Arabidopsis thaliana: one gene and its partners. The protein of the gene in region 3 interacts with the protein of the main gene of each other region in a pairwise test. Each region holds a gene or a part of one and is shown on either strand. Other genes may lie near its edges.

Region 1 (5,287 bases), on a different chromosome or scaffold from region 3:
AAACGCAGAGAAGTTGAATTTAGTTTATGCAAAAAAAGAGGGATCTGATTGTTCTTTCGTTTGTTTTCCGTTTTGTTCTGATTACGAGAGGGTTGATCTGAACGGAAGAAGCAACGGGCCGACACTTTAAAAAAAAAATAAAAAAAATGGGCCGACAAATGCAAACGTAGTTGACAAGGATCTCAAGTCTCAAGTCTCAATTGGCTCGCTCATTGTGGGGCATAAATATATCTAGTGATGTTTAATTGTTTTTTATAAGGTAAAAAGGAATATTGAATTTTGTTTCTTAGGTTTATGTAATAATACCAAACATTGTTTTATGAATATTTAATCTGATTTTTTGGCTAGTTATTTTATTATATCAAGGGTTCCTGTTTATAGTTGAAAACAGTTACTGTATAGAAAATAGTGTCCCAATTTTCTCTCTTAAATAATATATTAGTTAATAAAAGATATTTTAATATATTAGATATACAATAATATCTAAAGCAACACATATTTAGACACAACACGTAATATCTTACTATTGTTTACATATATTTATAGCTTACCAATATAACCCGTATCTATGTTTTATAAGCTTTTATACAATATATGTACGGTATGCTGTCCACGTATATATATTCTCCAAAAAAAACGCATGGTACACAAAATTTATTAAATATTTGGCAATTGGGTGTTTATCTAAAGTTTATCACAATATTTATCAACTATAATAGATGGTAGAAGATAAAAAAATTATATCAGATTGATTCAATTAAATTTTATAATATATCATTTTAAAAAATTAATTAAAAGAAAACTATTTCATAAAATTGTTCAAAAGATAATTAGTAAAATTAATTAAATATGTGATGCTATTGAGTTATAGAGAGTTATTGTAAATTTACTTAAAATCATACAAATCTTATCCTAATTTAACTTATCATTTAAGAAATACAAAAGTAAAAAACGCGGAAAGCAATAATTTATTTACCTTATTATAACTCCTATATAAAGTACTCTGTTTATTCAACATAATCTTACGTTGTTGTATTCATAGGCATCTTTAACCTATCTTTTCATTTTCTGATCTCGATCGTTTTCGATCCAACAAAATGAGTCTACCGGTGAGGAACCAAGAGGTGATTATGCAGATTCCTTCTTCTTCTCAGTTTCCAGCAACATCGAGTCCGGAAAACACCAATCAAGTGAAGGATGAGCCAAATTTGTTTAGACGTGTTATGAATTTGCTTTTACGTCGTAGTTATTGAAAAAGCTGATTTATCGCATGATTCAGAACGAGAAGTTGAAGGCAAATAACTAAAGAAGTCTTTTATATGTATACAATAATTGTTTTTAAATCAAATCCTAATTAAAAAAATATATTCATTATGACTTTCATGTTTTTAATGTAATTTATTCCTATATCTATAATGATTTTGTTGTGAAGAGCGTTTTCATTTGCTATAGAACAAGGAGAATAGTTCCAGGAAATATTCGACTTGATTTAATTATAGTGTAAACATGCTGAACACTGAAAATTACTTTTTCAATAAACGAAAAATATAATATACATTACAAAACTTATGTGAATAAAGCATGAAACTTAATATACGTTCCCTTTATCATTTTACTTCAAAGAAAATAAACAGAAATGTAACTTTCACATGTAAATCTAATTCTTAAATTTAAAAAATAATATTTATATATTTATATGAAAATAACGAACCGGATGAAAAATAAATTTTATATATTTATATCATCTCCAAATCTAGTTTGGTTCAGGGGCTTACCGAACCGGATTGAACTTCTCATATACAAAAATTAGCAACACAAAATGTCTCCGGTATAAATACTAACATTTATAACCCGAACCGGTTTAGCTTCCTGTTATATCTTTTTAAAAAAGATCTCTGACAAAGATTCCTTTCCTGGAAATTTACCGGTTTTGGTGAAATGTAAACCGTGGGACGAGGATGCTTCTTCATATCTCACCACCACTCTCGTTGACTTGACTTGGCTCTGCTCGTCAATGGTTATCTTCGATCTTTAACCAAATCCAGTTGATAAGGTCTCTTCGTTGATTAGCAGAGATCTCTTTAATTTGTGAATTTCAATTCATCGGAACCTGTTGATGGACACCACCATTGATGGATTCGCCGATTCTTATGAAATCAGCAGCACTAGTTTCGTCGCTACCGATAACACCGACTCCTCTATTGTTTATCTGGCCGCCGAACAAGTACTCACCGGACCTGATGTATCTGCTCTGCAATTGCTCTCCAACAGCTTCGAATCCGTCTTTGACTCGCCGGATGATTTCTACAGCGACGCTAAGCTTGTTCTCTCCGACGGCCGGGAAGTTTCTTTCCACCGGTGCGTTTTGTCAGCGAGAAGCTCTTTCTTCAAGAGCGCTTTAGCCGCCGCTAAGAAGGAGAAAGACTCCAACAACACCGCCGCCGTGAAGCTCGAGCTTAAGGAGATTGCCAAGGATTACGAAGTCGGTTTCGATTCGGTTGTGACTGTTTTGGCTTATGTTTACAGCAGCAGAGTGAGACCGCCGCCTAAAGGAGTTTCTGAATGCGCAGACGAGAATTGCTGCCACGTGGCTTGCCGGCCGGCGGTGGATTTCATGTTGGAGGTTCTCTATTTGGCTTTCATCTTCAAGATCCCTGAATTAATTACTCTCTATCAGGTAAAACACCATCTGCATTAAGCTATGGTTACACATTCATGAATATGTTCTTACTTGAGTACTTGTATTTGTATTTCAGAGGCACTTATTGGACGTTGTAGACAAAGTTGTTATAGAGGACACATTGGTTATACTCAAGCTTGCTAATATATGTGGTAAAGCTTGTATGAAGCTATTGGATAGATGTAAAGAGATTATTGTCAAGTCTAATGTAGATATGGTTAGTCTTGAAAAGTCATTGCCGGAAGAGCTTGTTAAAGAGATAATTGATAGACGTAAAGAGCTTGGTTTGGAGGTACCTAAAGTAAAGAAACATGTCTCGAATGTACATAAGGCACTTGACTCGGATGATATTGAGTTAGTCAAGTTGCTTTTGAAAGAGGATCACACCAATCTAGATGATGCGTGTGCTCTTCATTTCGCTGTTGCATATTGCAATGTGAAGACCGCAACAGATCTTTTAAAACTTGATCTTGCCGATGTCAACCATAGGAATCCGAGGGGATATACGGTGCTTCATGTTGCTGCGATGCGGAAGGAGCCACAATTGATACTATCTCTATTGGAAAAAGGTGCAAGTGCATCAGAAGCAACTTTGGAAGGTAGAACCGCACTCATGATCGCAAAACAAGCCACTATGGCGGTTGAATGTAATAATATCCCGGAGCAATGCAAGCATTCTCTCAAAGGCCGACTATGTGTAGAAATACTAGAGCAAGAAGACAAACGAGAACAAATTCCTAGAGATGTTCCTCCCTCTTTTGCAGTGGCGGCCGATGAATTGAAGATGACGCTGCTCGATCTTGAAAATAGAGGTATCTATCAAGTCTTATTTCTTATATGTTTGAATTAAATTTATGTCCTCTCTATTAGGAAACTGAGTGAACTAATGATAACTATTCTTTGTGTCGTCCACTGTTTAGTTGCACTTGCTCAACGTCTTTTTCCAACGGAAGCACAAGCTGCAATGGAGATCGCCGAAATGAAGGGAACATGTGAGTTCATAGTGACTAGCCTCGAGCCTGACCGTCTCACTGGTACGAAGAGAACATCACCGGGTGTAAAGATAGCACCTTTCAGAATCCTAGAAGAGCATCAAAGTAGACTAAAAGCGCTTTCTAAAACCGGTATGGATTCTCACCCACTTCATCGGACTCCTTATCACAAAAAACAAAACTAAATGATCTTTAAACATGGTTTTGTTACTTGCTGTCTGACCTTGTTTTTTTATCATCAGTGGAACTCGGGAAACGATTCTTCCCGCGCTGTTCGGCAGTGCTCGACCAGATTATGAACTGTGAGGACTTGACTCAACTGGCTTGCGGAGAAGACGACACTGCTGAGAAACGACTACAAAAGAAGCAAAGGTACATGGAAATACAAGAGACACTAAAGAAGGCCTTTAGTGAGGACAATTTGGAATTAGGAAATTCGTCCCTGACAGATTCGACTTCTTCCACATCGAAATCAACCGGTGGAAAGAGGTCTAACCGTAAACTCTCTCATCGTCGTCGGTGAGACTCTTGCCTCTTAGTGTAATTTTTGCTGTACCATATAATTCTGTTTTCATGATGACTGTAACTGTTTATGTCTATCGTTGGCGTCATATAGTTTCGCTCTTCGTTTTGCATCCTGTGTATTATTGCTGCAGGTGTGCTTCAAACAAATGTTGTAACAATTTGAACCAATGGTATACAGATTTGTAATATATATTTATGTACATCAACAATAACCCATGATGGTGTTACAGAGTTGCTAGAATCAAAGTGTGAAATAATGTCAAATTGTTCATCTGTTGGATATTTTCCACCAAGAACCAAAAGAATATTCAAGTTCCCTGAACTTCTGGCAACATTCATGTTATATGTATCTTCCTAATTCTTCCTTTAACCTTTTGTAACTCGAATTACACAGCAAGTTAGTTTCAGGTCTAGAGATAAGAGAACACTGAGTGGGCGTGTAAGGTGCATTCTCCTAGTCAGCTCCATTGCATCCAACATTTGTGAATGACACAAGTTAACAATCCTTTGCACCATTTCTGGGTGCATACATGGAAACTTCTTCGATTGAAACTTCCCACATGTGCAGGTGCGTTCGCTGTCACTGATAGACCAAGAGACTGAAAGCTTTCACAAATTGCCCTCAAATCTTCTGTTTCTATCGTCATGACTCCATATCTCCGACCACTGGTCATGAGCCAGAGCCCACTGATTTTGAGGGAATTGGGCTAACCATTTCCGAGCTTCTGAGTCCTTCTTTTTGATGTCCTTTATGTAGGAATCAAATTCTTCCTTCTGACTTGTGGATCCAGCCTGCTTCACAAGGCTCACCAGGTTGTAGTCTCCAAAAATATCATGGAATTGTAAGCAAAAACAATCCAGACAGAACCTGTGATAGACCCAAGGTTCTTGCCACAGTGATCCGGGTTCGTTAATAACAGCAACTATGTCCGGGTGAGGACTGGAGACGAGGCAAACGTCTTTCCTTTGTGTTACCTTCTCTCTGATATTAGTGAGAAACCAACGCCAACTATCAGTGGACACTTCTTTGGTAAGCGGAAAGGCAAGCGGGAAAAAGCAATCATCAGCGTCGAGTCCTGAGGAAATCATC
Region 2 (3,174 bases), on a different chromosome or scaffold from region 3:
CTTGCATGTGACTTGGGTGGTGTCTGTAATTGAGGGTTCTATGCTCTTTGCCGTTTATGGCTCGGGCCAGCAGTAAAATGCTTCCAGCTCTAAAGGTTAACGTTTCATTGGTCTCCACTTTTTGCCGCGCCGTCTCCACTTTGTGCATCATAGTGGAAACATACCAATTGGAGTGATATCTTCCATCCCTCCCACATTTTTCACCTCAATCTAAAGGATCTCTCATATTTTGGCATTTGTGAATATTCAAATCTGATAAACTACCACGTACCCCAAACAAGAGCATTAAGGTCACATTTAAATCACTATCACCTAACAGTCTAACACAGTAATAAATTCTTTCCGTTTCACAAAAGGTTGATAAATCTTTTAAACAAACAGATCCATTAATTTCTATCTCACTTAGAAGAGTAGATGCCTAAAACGAATGATACAATGAGTACCATCAAAACATGAATACCATAAAAAAAAAAATGAATCTATATAAAATCTGATGACAAAAAAAAACGAGTACTATCAAAACAGAGCACAATGAATGCTATAAAATTATTGGGTACAATCTCTAGCAAATTTCAACTTGAGACTTTTCTTTTATTTATTTCTTTATATACATATATATGAAACGATTCAATTATAAACCGTAAACAACAATTACCAATCAAGATTCTTAATTAAAAGAAAAAAAAATAATTTTAAATTATTAATTTACAATCACAACCACAGAGCCCCAACTTCCTTAAGAATTGGAACTAACTCACCGGAGATATGAGTAGCCATAACCCTATCTAACCCTCCAAACAACCTCCCTCCTACATAAACCGCCGGTAACTTCACCGTACCTCCGCCGCCTTGAACTCCAATATTCTCCAACTCACTCAAAACTTCATCTTCCCTCTCCTCATCAATCTCAAGGACCGCCGGATTCACTCCAAGTCCAAGAAGCAGCCTCCTCACCACATGACACATGCAACATCCTCTCCGTCCAATCACAATCACCGCGTTCTCCTCCACCACCATCCGAACTCTCTCGCCGTTTCCCTGCGTTTTAAGCGATAGCGGCCGCAGAGATTCCCCGACGGTTGTCGTCATGTTATAATTTCTTGCACAAGAAATCGTTCCTTGCATTTTCAAGTATGTTTTTAAAGATAGATACCAATTAGGAAAGGAAGGTTTTGTTATATATACATGAAGAAAGAGAGATCAGAGAGGAAAGTCTAGCGTCAACGATGGTTACGTAAGGATGTGCGTCACAGGAAGCTATGGGTGATGGTGCTGTTTACGTCACTGGATTGGAGTGGACTTAGTCATAGGACCGTGTCGTTATATCGTATCACATGTTTCACGCTGACTTTTTGGATCCCACTTTATTCTTTTAATAAATCTGCACGTTTTAATTTTGGTTCCTCTCTACTTTACATAATATTTTACTGCTTTTTTCATATCAATAAAAAATAGGAGAATTCTCAGAATTTATTACTATTATATTTGGGTTGTTTCGAAACTTTCGATAGATGGTTGTATACTTAGAAATATTCGCATGTGACGACCACATAGTGGATGCTTGCTTCTTTCGATCTCGACCATCAAAACGGAATCACCAGACTATATACAACAATTTTGGTAATCTAATACTAAAATTGTAGAAAACACAATTTTGTTTTGGGATTGCTAAATAAATACACTAGAGATGCTAGAGAGACCTAGCCTAAACTTTCGATATTTTCCGTTTTATCATTCAAGTAATTAATATAACATTTAGGTGTAAAGGTTAATAATATATATGACATTATATTCTTAGTGATCAAAAATCTAAACATAAACTTTTAGGAAAAAGACATATACTACTTTCCAAATTAATGTAACACGATCATGTCATATAGTAATGACCATGTTTGGATGAAAGTGGTAATTATGAGACGTGATTAAGTACTCTTGTTGAATCCTTCTTTTAAACCAATACTAAGAATAAGTTTGACATTATTGTCATATTATTTGTACTCGGACTTTCCGAGTAGTAGTGGAGCCTTATTAACTAATAATAATAATACGCATGACAGGAAAAAACTGAGAAGGTCATTTAGAAAGAACCATCGTCGAAGGATGGACGGTGGAAAAGTCGGTAGACGTCAGCACCAAGCCACCAACTAATTTGGTTTGTTTTAATGGAATCATGACGTCTTTCTTCTTTAAAACTCATGTCACCCATTTCTTCCTAAATTTGGACTATTATATGATTATGGGAATTGCATTTCTTTATTAAAGTCACGTGTCATCCTTTAACTTTATAAGTTCTTCAGGTTCCAAACTCCAAAGCCTTTCCAATTTTATCGTTCCACCAAATCCTGAAATGAAAGTTCAACATCCATCATGGTCCCAAAACGTTAAAAATATTTTAAAAAATAGAGTGTGGGGGATTTAAAAATTCATGACCGCTAGTAAAATATACAAATTTTCAACAAAACAAATTGCATGACCGCTTTGTTGGAGATATTATATTTACAGTTGCCTAACGTGAGAAGTTTGCATAACAAAACTAATCACAAACTCACAATATATACCATTCTTCTGTGCACCGGAAATCTATAACACTTAAAATCTTAAATGTGTAAACCCTAAAATTTTACCATACAATTTTTGAATTGAGAAAACAATTATTTGTTTTTGGTTTCTAGGATTAGTAAACAATCATTTATAGTAGCATCGGATTTTTCATGGACTATGAATCTTCTCAATAGACAGACTTAGGTCACGCTTTAACCAACAAAAACTCAGCAAGAGTGGTTTCTTTCTTCTATAACAAATGCCAAATATGCGTTTCAATATAACCATTTTCTATAACAGTTAATAATCAAAATTTTGTAACGTAGAAAATGGTCTTTATTAATACTGTCGTAGATTTGTAATAACTTATTGGGCTCTGTGGTCTCTTATTGGGCTTTATAAGATTCTCCAGTAGCCCAAAAATAAACTTTCAGCGAATCTCAAAGCCAACCGCAGGTGATGCGTTTTGCTATGTAAGAGAGACGAATCTCACGCCGGAATCTCTTTTACTTCACCGTCGTTTGTTCTCCGTCGCGTCACCTTTCGATTAATTCCTTCACAGGTAAGGAAGCTTCTTCAATTTTCCTCTTACATCAATTCTCCTTTCGCATTGATCCTTGTCGTTATCGTCTC
Region 3 (4,529 bases):
TTAACCAGACAAGAAGAGGGTCTTCTTCTGGATTGTTCTCAGATTTGATGAAGTAGTAGAACAGTTGATCTTCCTCTTTTTGACCAACACCAATATACCTTCATTATGTAACTCTAAAACTCAGAACACAGCGTCATACATACATTATAGGGGTAATATGGAAATGAAAATGCAGAGGAAAAGAACCCGGTTTCGAGCTCGAATGGAAGAGGGCCTTCAAAACCAGGAAGATATCTGATGATAGAACTTGAATCAGCATGTTGAATCAACACAAGCACACATTGCAGCAGCAGCAGCAACTTGAATATCCAGGAAGCCATTCTTGTTTTAGTTTTTGAGTTTTAACATTTTTTATATATACTCAAAACTCAAAAGCAGAGGCGTTGACCCAAAACAAAGATGGAATCTTTTCGGTTGAGTATGGTTCTATAAACCGGTCAATTGCAATATCTATACCCGAGACAATTCGGGTTAGTCTCTCTAACCAGTTCCAATTAATCTGTTTAGTTTTCCTTTGGATGTAAAGGTGTTTAGAGTTTGTTTTCTCCTTCAATTACCAACTGCCAACTGGTTAACGAATTGAAATTGAGGGTTTGAGCTGAAAACACTTGGGCACTTGACGTGAGAATGTACGTGGAAGGCCAGAAGGGACAAAGTCCCATGTAAAATGCTTTGCAGGTTATTTTATTGCACATGACATAGGACAAATTATTGTTTAATGATTTCAGCATTGCCTAGAAAACCGGACCGGTTGACAGTTTGAACCGGTTCAATAAATTTGTATGGGGTAATATTTGTAAAGCTAAGACTATAGAGTTCGTTAGGGGTAACAAGAATAGTATGGGGGGTTAGTTTGCAAATTCCCGTTAAATTTGTCGATGTTTCTTTTTGGGATGGTGGGTTTGTAGACAAATCGACGTCTCAGAGATTGTAATTACGGATCGTGTCTCTGCTGCTTCTTCTTCTTTCAATCCGATTTCGGACAACCTTTTACTCAGACAGGAGATTTCAGTTTTTTTCAGGTGAGCTTCTTGCTTTCTGCAACTCAAGCTCTTTTGTTTTTTGGGTTTTGTTTCTTTCCTTTTTCTTTTCTTTTTCTTTTGTTTGAAGTTTCCTCCTTCTTTGTTTTACTTTAGTCATTGGAAAGCTTACTTTTTCTCACTTTGTGATTTGCCTTTGGAAATTAAGACTTAGTTGACTTTCAGAAGCTTATAAAGTTTCAAGTTTTTTTTGTTCATTTGATGACGTTTTCAGCAACCAAATTCCATCGAATTATCTTGATGAATCCTTATGGATTTCAAATGTTAGTATGCTTTGAATTTCATGTGTCTGTTGAATTCTGTTAAGAGTCATAGATTTTGAATCCTTGGTGATGAGTTATTGGTTTGAGTGATCAGCTGCTATAAGCTTAGTTCTCGCTTGTGTTATAAGCTTAGTTCTCGCTTGTGTTAGATTTTGAATCCGCTGTTTTGTTTCAGTCCATGTTAGTACTTGAACCGTTGTCTTGCAGTGTGACTTAAGCTGGTTTCCGTGAGCCAATAACTTGATACTTGTGAGTGTGCCCAAATTCCAAACTGATGCAGTTCTCTCTCTCTGCTATCTGTTAATTTCTTTCATAATCATCTTTTCTCTTTCCTCTTGGCAGCTTTTCCTCCCTCTAGTGTGAAACTCTGCACCAGAGGTGAAAGGTTATCATTGCAAAAGGGAGCACAAGTGGATAGTGTTTGCTCAAGTATTAGTACAGAAACTAGTATGGCTGATACCAGTTCAAGGACTGATGTCTCAACTGATGGTGACACAGATCATAGAGATCTGGGGGTTAGCTCGTAATCTGGCTCTAATCATTTTATAGTTTTATTATCTCTACAATGTCACTCCTGGGAGGCTTGTACCGGAATCCCTTGGTAAAACTTGGGGCATTCTACCGGTATAGCCAAATCCACAGGACTAGTCATTTGCTTATGTTCATCAAACATGCATAGTTTGAATGAAACAGTAATTCCTGATGTTGATTACATGCAGTCTGATAGAGGGCATATGCATGCTGCTGCCTCTGATTCCAGTGATCGATCAAAGGATAAGTTGGATCAAAAGGTGATAGATTCATCTCTGTGGATCAACTAGCATCTGTGTATATTACGCATATGCATAATCTGTTTTGTTTCCTTTTCGTTTTGATCCATAGACCCTTCGTAGGCTTGCTCAAAATCGTGAGGCAGCAAGAAAAAGCAGATTGAGGAAGAAGGTATGTATATTTTGCTTTTGTTCTTGTTTTGATTTTTCTTATATATTCCTCTTATTTCCTTGTAATATCTCTAGAAGAATATCTATCTGTCATTACCTTAAGCATGTTATTGTTTCCTCCATAGGCGTATGTTCAGCAGCTGGAGAATAGTCGATTAAAGCTGACTCAACTTGAGCAGGAGCTGCAAAGAGCAAGACAGCAGGTTTATTAACTTTCTTATTTGTTTTGATTCTGATATGTATGTCTTTATAAAGAAGATAAAAGGCTGAAGCTACTTCAACTTATAACTAACAGTCAGTTACGAGTTAGTACTAGTCTTGGGTTAGCTGAAGTAGAGGAGGTAACAGAATTATGGGTCATCCATAGTTTAGTTGGGTAAAAGTAGCTGGTAACTCTCTCGAAATAGGTCCTTCTGGTCTGTTTATTCGGATGTTGATGGCATACAGAGAATTTCTATTCTGGTTCTTATCAGATTCTTTGTCATGACTCATGACAGTGTATTTGTCACTTAAGGATATATATTTTTCAATTTTAGGGAGTTTTCATCTCAAGTTCAGGAGACCAAGCTCATTCTACTGGTGGCAATGGTGGGTTGTTTCTTCTCTGTTAGTTTTGAGATTGATCCTTTTGATTTGAAATTTCTATGTGAGATAAGTGCATATATACATATATGTTGATGAATTGGTGATAGCATAAGTCATCTCATGGCAATATGCTTACACTTGTTAGAGTTAATGGTTTCAAGAGTCAGTGATGATCTGGATGGGAAATTAAAGTCATGGTGATGTCAAAACTGAAGTTTCTTATAGTTTGCGCTGGTGTTAGCTTAGGTCTGCAAGGGTTTGTTCTTGATCTAGTATACTTGCCTTTCTGCAGGGGCTTTGGCATTTGATGCAGAACACTCACGATGGCTTGAAGAAAAGAACAGGCAAATGAACGAGCTGAGATCTGCCCTGAATGCTCATGCAGGTGATACTGAGCTCCGGATAATTGTGGATGGAGTGATGGCTCACTATGAGGAGCTTTTCAGGATTAAGAGCAATGCAGCTAAGAATGATGTCTTCCACTTGTTATCTGGAATGTGGAAAACACCAGCTGAGCGATGTTTCTTGTGGCTTGGCGGGTTCCGCTCATCCGAACTTCTCAAGGTAAGCTCTTTCCAAGTCCATAGAGAGATTTTGATGAACAGCCAACTTAATGAGTCGCAGTGTTTTCACAACAGCTTCTTGCGAATCAGCTAGAGCCCATGACAGAACGACAGGTAATGGGCATCAATAGCTTGCAGCAGACGTCGCAGCAGGCAGAAGATGCTTTATCTCAAGGGATGGAGAGTTTACAGCAATCCCTAGCTGATACTTTATCCAGTGGAACTCTTGGTTCCAGTTCATCGGATAATGTCGCGAGCTACATGGGTCAGATGGCCATGGCAATGGGGCAGTTAGGCACCCTCGAAGGATTCATACGCCAGGTACTTTAGAAATGTGGATGTTATCGAGATATACCATATCTTTTCATCGTCACAAAGAGATAAATATTTTATTTTATATATGAATCCGTCTGTTATGGAGTTCATAGGGCATTTCTTGGTGGCAGGCTGATAACTTGAGGCTGCAAACACTACAACAGATGCTTCGAGTATTAACAACACGTCAGTCAGCTCGTGCTCTTCTTGCTATACACGATTATTCATCTCGATTACGTGCTCTTAGTTCCTTGTGGCTTGCCCGGCCAAGAGAGTGAAACAGAAGAATAGTGCTCTACTCAGCAGTCAGCCCTATACATAATCTTATGACTCAGATCGGCAGGGATACTCCTTCCAAGAGATCGATCACAAAGCAAGGCATTCTCAGATTCTTACCAAAAGCAATATTTTGGGAAAGAAGACTGCAGGTTTTGAAATTGGTTTCCTGAGGTCCGCAAGACTCGAGTGTTGTGTGTGTTGTAATTTTTAGCCATCAGGTTGCATAGTTTTATAGAGTGAATGTTTATAGGTCTTTGAATATTCAAAGCGGATAGGTGATCAGTGTAAGGTCGCAATTACCAACATGACAGAAGATGGGATCCTTTCAGGAACTTGGATTGTATGATCATAAACTCCAGCAGACCAAATCAATTTATATTGAGAGTTCAAAAAAGAGAGCAGATTGTGTATCTTGAAATCATAGCAAGATTGCCCAGTAAACACTGTCACACATAAAGCTTACAGAGGTTTGGCTAATACTATGTATAACCAACCTGAGTCAGAGAAAATACTCATACAAATGAAAAGATCTAATTATTTCCA

Evidence for each region. Proteins that work in one complex are often made in the same cells at the same time.
Region 1: the proteins of TGA6 (region 3) and NPR1 interact in binary tests that used the Arabidopsis thaliana proteins (3 or more experiments, as listed by UniProt).
Region 2: the proteins of TGA6 (region 3) and GRX480 interact in binary tests that used the Arabidopsis thaliana proteins (3 or more experiments, as listed by UniProt).

What each region holds. Positions count from the first base shown.
Region 1 is NC_003070.9:23,852,237-23,857,523, reverse strand, and holds NPR1 (regulatory protein (NPR1)), read left to right. Parts: upstream 1-1,865; 5' UTR 1,866-2,116; coding exon 2,117-2,677; intron 2,678-2,756; coding exon 2,757-3,492; intron 3,493-3,600; coding exon 3,601-3,804; intron 3,805-3,914; coding exon 3,915-4,195; 3' UTR 4,196-4,776; downstream 4,777-5,287. Other genes in the region: AT1G64290 (F-box protein-like protein), read left to right, coding at 1-130. UniProt on the Arabidopsis thaliana protein: Salicylic acid (SA)-binding substrate-specific adapter of an E3 ubiquitin-protein ligase complex (CUL3-RBX1-BTB) which mediates the ubiquitination and subsequent proteasomal degradation of target proteins.
Region 2 is NC_003070.9:10,012,923-10,016,096, forward strand, and holds GRX480 (Thioredoxin superfamily protein), read right to left. Parts: upstream 1,335-3,174; 5' UTR 1,126-1,334; coding exon 712-1,125; 3' UTR 512-711; downstream 1-511. UniProt on the Arabidopsis thaliana protein: Has a glutathione-disulfide oxidoreductase activity in the presence of NADPH and glutathione reductase. Reduces low molecular weight disulfides and proteins.
Region 3 is NC_003074.8:3,904,599-3,909,127, forward strand, and holds TGA6 (TGACG motif-binding factor 6), read left to right. Parts: upstream 1-1,752; coding exon 1,753-1,818; exon of another isoform or gene 1,819-1,852; coding exon 1,853-1,927; exon of another isoform or gene 1,928-1,974; coding exon of another isoform or gene 1,975-2,022; coding exon 2,023-2,094; intron 2,095-2,185; coding exon 2,186-2,245; intron 2,246-2,369; coding exon 2,370-2,447; intron 2,448-2,780; coding exon 2,781-2,832; exon of another isoform or gene 2,833-3,081; intron 3,082-3,121; coding exon 3,122-3,393; exon of another isoform or gene 3,394-3,467; coding exon 3,468-3,713; intron 3,714-3,838; coding exon 3,839-3,985; downstream 3,986-4,529. Other genes in the region: SCPL15 (serine carboxypeptidase-like 15), read right to left, coding at 1-98, 187-320.